2 linked regions of the Saccharomyces cerevisiae S288C genome follow. The gene in region 1 interacts genetically with each later gene. Each region holds a gene or a part of one and is shown on either strand. Other genes may lie near its edges.

Evidence for each region. A genetic interaction does not mean that the proteins touch.
Region 2: of RNY1 (region 1) and ATG2, changing one suppresses a phenotype caused by changing the other (phenotypic suppression), as found in Saccharomyces cerevisiae (one study listed by BioGRID).

Annotation. Positions count from the first base shown.
Region 1 is NC_001148.4:317,141-320,684, forward strand, and holds RNY1 (ribonuclease T2), read right to left. Parts: upstream 1,806-3,544; coding exon 501-1,805; downstream 1-500. Other genes in the region: SPC29 (Spc29p), read left to right, coding at 1-376; TFIIH/NER complex subunit TFB2, read right to left, coding at 2,086-3,544. UniProt on the Saccharomyces cerevisiae protein: Rnase which modulates cell survival under stress conditions. Released from the vacuole to the cytoplasm during stress to promote tRNA and rRNA cleavage and to activate separately a downstream pathway that promotes cell death.
Region 2 is NC_001146.8:189,512-196,869, forward strand, and holds ATG2 (Atg2p), read left to right. Parts: upstream 1-1,812; coding exon 1,813-6,591; downstream 6,592-7,358. Other genes in the region: SLA2 (Sla2p), read left to right, coding at 1-1,446; ZWF1 (glucose-6-phosphate dehydrogenase), read right to left, coding at 6,915-7,358. UniProt on the Saccharomyces cerevisiae protein: Lipid transfer protein required for autophagosome completion and peroxisome degradation. Tethers the edge of the isolation membrane (IM) to the endoplasmic reticulum (ER) and mediates direct lipid transfer from ER to IM for IM expansion.

The DNA.
Region 1 (3,544 bases):
ATCACAAAATGTGATAGATGACCAAAGATTAGAAATAAAATATTTAGAACGAATCGTATATGACCAAGGCACTGTCATTGATAATCTAACATCAAGAATAACAAGACTGGAATCATTCATACTGAATTCGATCTCAGACAGAGGAGATAAAAATTTTGCCTCTCTCGAACACTCCCGCTCTTTTTCTGGGTTTCCGACCAACAAGACGTATGGCTTACAAATGGGTGGACTGTATGAGAATGATATGCCCTATCGAAGAAGTAGCGACAACATTAATAAAGAAGGAGCAAGAGAAGATCGATCGTCACAAATCCATATTGAAAATGAAAGTACGGAGGATATACTAAAAATATTGTCTTCGTCTTTTCACAATTGAATTAAGTACTTAACTAAATAATACCAGCATAATCGTAACTAAAACTAAAATATAGATATACGCATTTCAATCTTTTCTTCTCAGAGAAGGGTAAAGCTAAATGAAGTTTTCAATCGGAAAACTTTTAATTTTTGATGAATTTTAATTTAAACTTATATTTCTTGGAATTTTGTTCATCGTCTACAGAGAAAATGGGGCTTTGATTCCTTCTCCTTGGATAGGTGTCACCGCCCCAGTTGTAGTTACCAGAATAACCAATATATCCGTCTCCTCCTTTCGTTGGATCAAAATCGAATTGACCTGCATCCTTAATGTTCCTGAATTTGCAGACCAATTCATTAGATGAAGACGAAATAATGTCACAAAACCCTTGGTTAGTTCTCAAGTAGTAATTCCCATAGGGAGATTTAATCAACTCGTAATTCGCTGGTGTACCTTGACTCATCCAGTGTCCATTCTTGATTAGAAAGCCTTGCATCTGATCTCCATTATTAATATTTGATAGACGAACGACTCCTCTGTATCTTGCTCCCTTATTAGGTCTCCTCCTGAAAGTTGGGACATAACCTTTTGGAAAAAACTTAATACCATCTTTTTTACAATTTGTTCGAATGGCAAGTGAGTCCATGGGCACAAACATTTCGCTCAAAAGGGAACCCTTCAAGTGGTTATAATACCATACTTCGTTTAAGGAATTATGTCTATCACAGCCTATGAAGACTTTTTTTCCTTCAAACTCTTTACTTAGTGCTGCCTCTATCTGCTCCAAAGAATAGGAATTGTCCACACTTGGGACAATATTATTTTTTTCTAGTGTTGAAAATGTGTCCAATTTCTTGAATAGATTATAAGTTATTCTAAAATAATCATAGACCGCTCTTTTTCTGTCAACACTATTAGCACCCCACTCAGTATAGCACTCTGGTCTAATTGTGCTAATGCACGTGCCATGTTTATTAAACTCGTGTATCCATAAGGACTCATGATTCCCGTTATTACTCTTCCAATATAAGTCTAGGTATTCAAGCAGCTTTTCGCCCGATATTTGCAGGGATGTATCATTATTATTAAATTTCTTGTCATGCAATAAGTAGTAAACATCGTCAATTTGTAAGGACCTATTACAGAATTGTTGGTAGCCACCATGACAATTATCTGGCCATAATCCGTGAATTGTAAATGAATCTAGAGGCCCTAACTCCTTCACTAATTCAGTTTCATTTAAATCGTTTTTGCTTGGAAAGTAATTCCAGAATTGGGTTTGTAAAAATATTCCACCTGGATATTCAAAACAACACGAGTTGTCTATATCAGTTTTATTGGAACATGATAATGGAATGTTTATAGGGCAGTTTGGTTCTATACCCTTATCTGCTCCATTCGAAAAAATTGGTAGTTGTAAGAGACTGTGTAAGTTTTTCAGTAACATTGACACAGTACTTTAGTTTGAAATATCTTAAATAGTTGGCCTTGCAATAGGTCGAAAGTTGAAGCGTTAATTATAAATTCGGTAGTTCCCCTACTTTTCGATAGGTTTGCATTTAAGGGATATTTTAGGAAAAGCTTAGATACCGAAATTTTGTTGATAGAGATGCAAAAGAAGAAAGAATGAAAAAGGAAAACAATTACTGCGCAAGAAAGACGCGTGTGTTAGCGCAATTGTTACGTTGAATGCATTGATATGTAGGGGCATATATATGTATATATACTTATTGTTTCTTTTTCAACTTTCTTTTAGCGAAATCAAGTACTTGAGAATTACCTTCCTTTGAGATGAAAAATTTCTTCTTTTTGTCGTCTTTCCACAACAAAACACCGATATCTTGAGCGTACTTACTTAGTAAGTTGTATTCTTGACTAGTCTCAAAATCAGAATATAAGGAACCTTCATATGTAATGACTCTATCTAACTCTAATTGCCATAATCTGATTTGATCTACGACGGTAGGAGGCAAAACTTGTAAAGGCTCCTTACAGTTGGGGTCCAGCTCTAATTTTTTTTCTAGTTTCTCTTCTGCCAACCTTCTCATTTGAGGATGTGCATGTGTCTCCAGATAGGCAATGATTTGGTCGGCAGTGATACCATTGGTCAATGCTCTTCTTATGGATTCCCTTGTTATTTGACCCAATACCATATTCACAAATCTTGCCTTTAAATGAACAAAAAGAGACAAAACAGCAATTTGCAGAGGTGAATTAGAATATGAATAGATTTTGAAATTTGTTTCTACAATCAATGAGCCATCGGGTATATCTTGATTTTTTAGACCTGCTTTGTTCAAATCATCTGATGTAGTGATATCTGTTGTGGATTTCCCGTTGGCGCCGTCTTCATTTACTGACGGCTCTTCTCTATTCTGTCTCAGTACACTATCCATCGCATTGGAGGCAGATCTGATTGTCTTGGTATCGGAAGTCAGCATCAAAGCTAATTTTGTTGGATAAAAAATGCTATCATTTGAATGCTTCTGGAATACCAAACCATAGTCTCGCATATCTTGTAACATAATTCTTTGTGTTTCGCTTAATGCATCGATTTTATAGGCTTTGCCAACTTCCAATGCGCCTAACATGAAAATAAAATGTAAAACATCGACTAAATCCATTTTGGACGTTTCGATCATTTTTAAATATTGCAATAATAATGTCCATAATTGGGAGTTGATTTCTTGTAAAAGAAATTGGAAGCCTTCATTAGTGATTTTGAACTCTCCAGTAGAGTTTACCTCTTCCATTAGTTTACTGTGTTTTAAAAGGTTCAGTACTTTTTCAGATGGGATTTTAGCGAGGGGAGTGCCAACCATGAAATGTAATATTGTTTCCCATTTATTAGCTGAATATTCATCCAACAAGTCCAGGCTAACTACGTTTTCCTCTACAACCACACCGAATGAGTTTTGAACTTCCCCACCCGTTAATGCGTTCCTCAGGCTGATTTTGAATGTTGGGTTTAGGTTGATCATCAAAGTACCAGATGATTTATTTGGTATAAGAAGATGCAAAGACTTCATCGATTTGATTGCATTCTGAAACTGCAATTTACCATTAGAGTTAACCCATTTATCTAAATCCAACAAAGGTACTTCATTTTCGTTGAAAACCATTGCCATGATAAAAAATTTAGCTAGTGGTGGTAAAATTCTATAGATAGCCAGACATGTAGCTGGT
Region 2 (7,358 bases), on another chromosome or scaffold:
TTGCGTCAAGAGCATCTAAATCTTTTACCTCGTTTTAAAAAACTGCAGTTAAAGGTGAATAGTGCGCAGGAATCCATTCAGAAAAAGGAACAGTTAGAACACAAATTGAAGCAAAAGGATTTGCAAATGGCCGAGTTGGTTAAGGACCGTGACAGGGCAAGGTTAGAATTAGAAAGATCCATTAATAATGCAGAGGCGGACAGTGCAGCGGCGACAGCAGCAGCAGAAACAATGACTCAGGATAAAATGAACCCTATTCTGGATGCCATATTGGAAAGCGGTATCAACACCATCCAGGAATCGGTCTATAATCTCGATTCTCCTTTGAGTTGGTCGGGTCCGCTGACTCCACCCACTTTCCTTTTGTCCTTATTGGAAAGTACTTCTGAAAACGCCACTGAGTTTGCCACCAGTTTCAATAATTTGATAGTAGACGGCCTTGCACACGGCGACCAAACAGAGGTCATACACTGCGTTAGTGATTTCAGTACTTCGATGGCTACACTGGTGACCAATTCAAAGGCGTACGCCGTTACTACATTACCTCAAGAACAGTCTGATCAAATTTTGACCCTGGTGAAGAGATGTGCCAGAGAGGCCCAATATTTCTTCGAGGATTTGATGTCTGAAAATCTTAACCAGGTCGGTGATGAGGAGAAAACTGATATCGTCATCAATGCCAACGTGGACATGCAAGAGAAGTTGCAAGAGCTATCTTTGGCTATCGAACCGTTATTGAACATACAATCTGTCAAATCAAATAAAGAAACGAACCCACATTCTGAATTGGTTGCCACTGCTGACAAAATTGTCAAATCCTCAGAACACTTACGTGTTGACGTTCCTAAACCATTGTTGTCATTGGCATTAATGATTATTGATGCTGTTGTGGCTTTGGTAAAGGCTGCTATTCAGTGCCAAAATGAAATTGCCACCACGACAAGTATTCCTCTGAACCAATTCTACTTGAAAAACAGCAGATGGACAGAAGGTTTGATCTCCGCGGCAAAGGCTGTGGCAGGTGCAACCAATGTTTTAATCACTACTGCTAGTAAGTTAATCACTTCTGAAGACAATGAAAACACATCACCTGAACAATTTATCGTCGCCTCCAAAGAAGTGGCCGCATCCACAATACAATTGGTAGCAGCATCGAGAGTGAAAACTTCCATCCACTCGAAGGCCCAAGATAAATTGGAACACTGTTCCAAAGATGTTACCGATGCATGCAGAAGTTTGGGTAACCACGTCATGGGTATGATTGAAGATGATCATTCGACTTCGCAACAGCAGCAACCATTGGACTTCACATCCGAACACACATTGAAGACTGCCGAAATGGAACAGCAAGTGGAAATTTTGAAGTTAGAACAATCCTTGAGCAATGCCAGGAAGAGATTGGGCGAGATAAGAAGGCATGCCTACTATAACCAGGATGATGATTGATCATGAATTGTACTTTTTATATATAAAGATAAACGTTAATATAAATATATTTATTTGAAGACGTCTTTTACGTTTTTCTGTATCTGATTGGTATATGCGTTCTCGTCCGGGGACATTTTTTCTTTTTTTGGTGCGGCGAATGGAAATAATCGCGATAATGAATATGCAAGGAACAAAGAACAGACACCCCACCCTTATTATCATATCACATCTCTGTAGGAGTCTACCATTTTGCTTCTATTGTAATCTTTGCGACTTTATTTCAACTCACCATTCATACAAAATTTCTACTGCCGTTTAAAATAAGGAAAGCATAAAGATTAAAGCAAATTAAGAGGAACCCTTTTTTTTTTTGATTTCGATACAATGGCATTTTGGTTACCTCAAAATATACAAAAGCGGCTGCTTCTTTACGTCCTTCAGCAAATTTCGCTGTTCTCCAATATAGATTTATCTAACTTGGACGTTTCTATAGGGTCTAAGTCACATTTCTCGTTCCATGATGTGAATCTGTCACTTGATGATCTCAACATTCCAAACGTGCAAATAAACGAAGGCATAGTTGACGAGCTTGTGTTAAAATTAACAGTTTCTGGCGGTGTGGAAATCGATGGGTCTGGTTTAAGATTTATCATGACACCTTTATATTCCAGTGGCTCACAGGAACTTCACTCAGATTTTTTGGTTAAAAGCATCCAAGATCTTACGAATTCGATGTTACAATTTAGTGATCCATTGACCACATATAATAGGTACAAAGAAGATGACATTAGCTCTTCAGACAGTAGTAGTGATCTCAACTCTAATATAGAAGCTTCAAAACCAGCCGCAAATGGTTCTTATACTCTTCAAAATATGCGGAACAAGGCCCTTAATGTAGCCTTAGCGAAATTGAAAATAGCATTAAAGGACGTTACCATACGTTTCATAGTGAATGATAGAGATCCTTCCGATAACATTGTGGAGGTTCATCTAGAAAGCATACAACTTATTACTACAGACGCAAATTTACGACATATAAACATTGAAAATATCACCATTTCCTCAATACAAAAACAAGCTGTACCCGACTCTCCTGTGCATCCTTTCAATAATGACGATCTGTCACAAAGCGTTTATTTATCAAAAATGGAGGCTACTTCACTTTATATGAGCGCCATGGAAGAGCAATCAAATGAAGACCCCAGTGAACCCCAAGTTACACAAGAAGAACAAGAGAATGATAAGTGCAAGGAATCTTTAATGGAAATAAATAATTTGAACATAGCTTTTAAGGGTTTATCATCGGTCAATGATCTCAGAATGTCTAATATTGTTATTGATATTCAGGATGTTCATTTAGCGATACACAAAATTGTCGAAATCAAAAACTCCACTTTGAAGAATATTATAGATATCATTGTTACACATTTGGATGCCAATGAAAGCTTTTCTTGCCAGGATTCCCAAAGTCCTTCACCTGACAAGCAGGAACCATCAGCTCTTTCTTCTGTTGATATCAAATGTATATACTTAAACTTAGGCCAAGATATCACAGTAATTTTGAAGAGCTTTAAATTAGAGCAAAAGGAAAATAATTCATTGGCATTTTCTTTAGGCTCATTTTATTCTAATTCGAGTCCATTGACAATTAGCCATAAAACTAAGCCATTGCTCACTGGAGAACAAACCCCTCAAAGCATCGCATTAAATATGGGCGACGAACTAGATATTATTATCAGTCATGATGGCATTGCGCATTTCTTTAAAATCTTTCAGTTTGTTTCAAAATGTATGTCCTTTTATCAGAATAAGTCAAAAGGGATGATGCCTCAAATAGCATCGGATACTAAAAGGACCGTACAACTTACCTCAAAAGCAGTGAAGTTGTCGCTTAAGTTTCCATATTTTTTATTATGTTTCCAGGTTTCACCCTTCATTTACGACTCTAACCGTGAGTTGTACATTGAGCTTGTAGACGTATTTAAAAAACTACCTTCTCGGTGCACGAAAATATTGACAATGTCGAGCATTACGATCTCGAACTTGCAATCCCCTCTACAACTGGGTTCATATGACGATACTTTGAAAGAAGCGCTAATTTATAGTTCTGTCCATGCAATCATCAAAGAAGTGATATTTAACGAAGAATATTCTGGAATAGTACAATTAGTCGAAGATATTTCTGCGTTTGGAAAACTTTTCACGGATTCAAAGAACAGTGAATGTACAGGAAAGTCTAAAAGCAAGAGAGGCTCCTTTTTGCAGAGAAGTGTCAGAGTACTTAATTCTTCCAGGTTCGTTTACAAGCAGAGTTTATCCGCTAATTTTTCTCTCAAGATAGATTCCATGAAGTTAAAAGTATCAGAAATTATAGGGCCGCAATTTGGTTCTGTGGAAGCATTACTATCAAATAATTTCTTTGCGATTACGGATGACTCTCAAATTGTATATTTTACAAAGAACTTAAAGGTAGAAAGAAAGACACCGTCATTATTAGAGCCACAAGAAATCATGTCAGTAGTTTTGAATAAAGCAGTTAACGAACCTGTACTATATGTTCATAGAAGGGCGAATGGAAAGTTAAAAGTCATTTTTAACAACATTCGCATACATTACTATGCAAGGTGGTTAGAAATACTAAAGAAAAACATCGGCCCGGATAATGCCAGTTCAAAAGATGAACCTGTTTCACAAAAGCTTAGTAAAAAACAACCGACTTCAGGATTTCCCTGGGAACTCAAATGTCTGGACTGCTCTCTAATTCTGCACCCTTTCAGATTAAAAAGTGTAATGGTCATTGTACTTGACAATCTAACAACTGGTGGAAGTTCATTTATTCCGCAGGCAAAGCTTCTTTCAAAGGCGAATACACTCTTCCTAATAGATGACTATCAGAATTTCAAAATTCAAAAAGATAAGAACTGGCCTAGTTTGATAAATTTTTATGCTGGTCAAGGTTTCTCTGCAATCGGTAAAATAGATACTTTGAATTTTTTAATAAACAAATCCGATGGTGCCCTTTTATTGGATTGTAAAATAGAACAAGTTGGTCTTTCATTATGCGCGGATTCTTTTCAAACTTTTTGTCAGCTTTGTATTGATTTAAAATATCCTCAGACGTTTCCTGATGAGGAAAAATTTAGAACGCAGTTGAAAAATCCTATCGATGTATTCAAAGACATCGATTGTGATCTTTTCAATTCTGCCTTCATCCGGGAGAACAATCATCAAAATGATTACGACTCAGTGCATTTGGTAGACAGTTTTCTCGACAAAACTCACGAGTTCAACAATGGTGCCAGAAGTAAACTATCCTCTCAAGGTTCATATGAAATGGACAGTTCCTCTGGAACTGCCACAGGTGGTATTTTACTTCCCCATGAGAGTTATCTAGACTCTGCTCAGCCAAAAGAAGAAGATACTCCACCAATCGCCTCAAAAGAGCAAGAAAGGGATGTGGATATAAGGGGTAGTATAGATGTCGAAAAAGTTGTTATAAAACTATTCGATGGGTATGATTGGAAATATACGCGGAAATTTATCGCTAATACTGTTGAAAAACTGGATAAAGAGCTCAGTAAAGCGGAAGCAAGCAGTTCGAAATCAAATGTACCCCAATCAGAGGCAAATATTTTTGACTCTATTTATATATCTGCTAACAAAAACAATGTCACAGATTTGAGAAGAAATCTTGATGGTGAGATCCAGGGGGTTCAGAATTCCTTCTCTGATGTCTCTAAAGTTAATTTGCGACCTTCTAAGCATTACAAAGCCCTGATTCAATTGAACAAAGTACATGTCAATTTGAAGAATTATCGAGTAGATGAACCCGATGAGTCTAACTCTGATAATTCCACAGATGTTTTGAACCGATGTGTAGTTTCCATTTACGAATTTGAAATTATCGATAATGTTCCCACGTCCACCTGGAATAAATTTGTAACTTTGCTAAAGCACGAACCGTGGCCACACAGTTCTCCGATGTTTCTTCTGGACCTGGAATTTATCCGGCCGATCGACTTTTTGCAAGCAGTGGAATTAGTCATGCAATTAAATGTTGCGCCTTTACGCCTTCACGTGGATCAAGACACTTTAGAGTTTCTAATAAGGTTCTTAGGGTTCAAAGATAAAAGATTTGAATTAATTGATGAGTATCCAGATATTGTATTTATTCAAAAATTTAGCACTAATTCAATTAAGTTAAGATTAGATTATAAGCCGAAAAAAGTTGATTATGCGGGTTTAAGATCGGGCCAAACTTCTGAATTGATGAATTTTTTTACCCTTGATGGATCCAAGATTATTTTGAAAAGCGTAGTCCTGTATGGATTAAATGGATTCGATGAATTAAATAATAAACTGAAAGCCATTTGGACGCCGGATATTACCAAAAAGCAGCTGCCTGGCGTTTTGGAAGGACTGGCTCCTGTCAGATCGTTTATGGCGATTGGGTCAGGGGTGAAGACCCTAGTCACAGTACTAATGTCAGAATACAGGCAAGAAGGGCATTTGGGAAGGAGTCTGAAAAAGGGTGGCAATGTCTTCTTGAAAACGACAACGGGAGATTTTGTGAAATTGGGAGTTAAATTAACTTCAGGGACACAGGCGATATTGGAGAACACCGAGGAACTATTCGGTGGTGTTGGTTCCAATGGCAGGGTGTACGATGCATCGAAATTTGGCTCCGCTGATGGTGCAGACAGTGATACTGCAGCTGTATTAGACTTGGATACTTTATTCGAGGAGGATCAGTTAGTTGGTAGTAAATATTCCAGGATAAGAGATCATGAGCCCACGGCAGTAGTCATCGATATGTCTTCACCGGGAGATCACAACGAACCCACAATAGTGAGTCTGTACGCAGATCAGCCCCTCGACCTGCCCACGGGTTTGAAGGAGGCGTATAGTTCATTAGAAAAGCATATGCATATTGCGTACGATGCGGTATGGAGGGCAAAGGGACAGATGAAGGATGATAAACGGGGAGGGCCGAGCGCCGCAGCAGTTTATGTTGCTAGAGCTGCACCTGTGGCAATTATTCGGCCGTTAATTGGGGCCACTGAGGCAGTGTCTAAGACTTTACAGGGAATAGCTAATCAAGTGGATAAGACGCATAACGAGCAAATCAATGATAAGTACAAGTCCAATCGGACTGATTCGTAAAAATTTTTGCAGACATTTTTGATATATATTCAATTCATATTTTATCTCTTTTTTTTTTTTTTTTTTCAGACGTGGAATGGTGGGAAAGCCAAAATGTCACTGACCGCGGCTAAAAGTTAAAAAATACATGAGACGACATTCTTTTATGTATATATATTTACACATGTATACAAACAAATACACACGCAAGTAGAGAGGAGTTGGTGGGGGGAAGATGCCATTATAGAGGAGAAAAGAACAAAGAGAGTGAGCTTGCAAGATAAAATCACTCGAAAAAAAAAATTTCAGTGACTTAGCCGATAAATGAATGTGCTTGCATTTTTCTAATTATCCTTCGTATCTTCTGGCTTAGTCACGGGCCAAGCGTAAGGGTGCTTTTCGGGCATAACATACTTGTGTTTTTGCATATATTCCTTCAATCCCTTTGGACCTCTTGATCCGTAGGGGTAAATTTCCGGTGTTGGACCGTCCGGACGCTCTATGTGCTTCAGTAATGGGGTGAATATGCCCCAACTGATATCCAATTCGTCATCTCTGACAAAGTTGGAATGGTCACCCAGTAGGGCGTCTCTTATCAACACCTCGTAAGCCTCTGGAATCCAAAAGTCTTGGTACCTGCTTGCGTAAGTTAGATTCAGATCTGTGACTTGGGTAGCATTTGACAGACCAGGGGTCTTAGCATTAAACTTTAGGTACACAGCGGCATCGGGCTGCACTCTGATGACCAGTTCGTTATTTGGAATGTCTTTGAAGACACCCGATGCGAC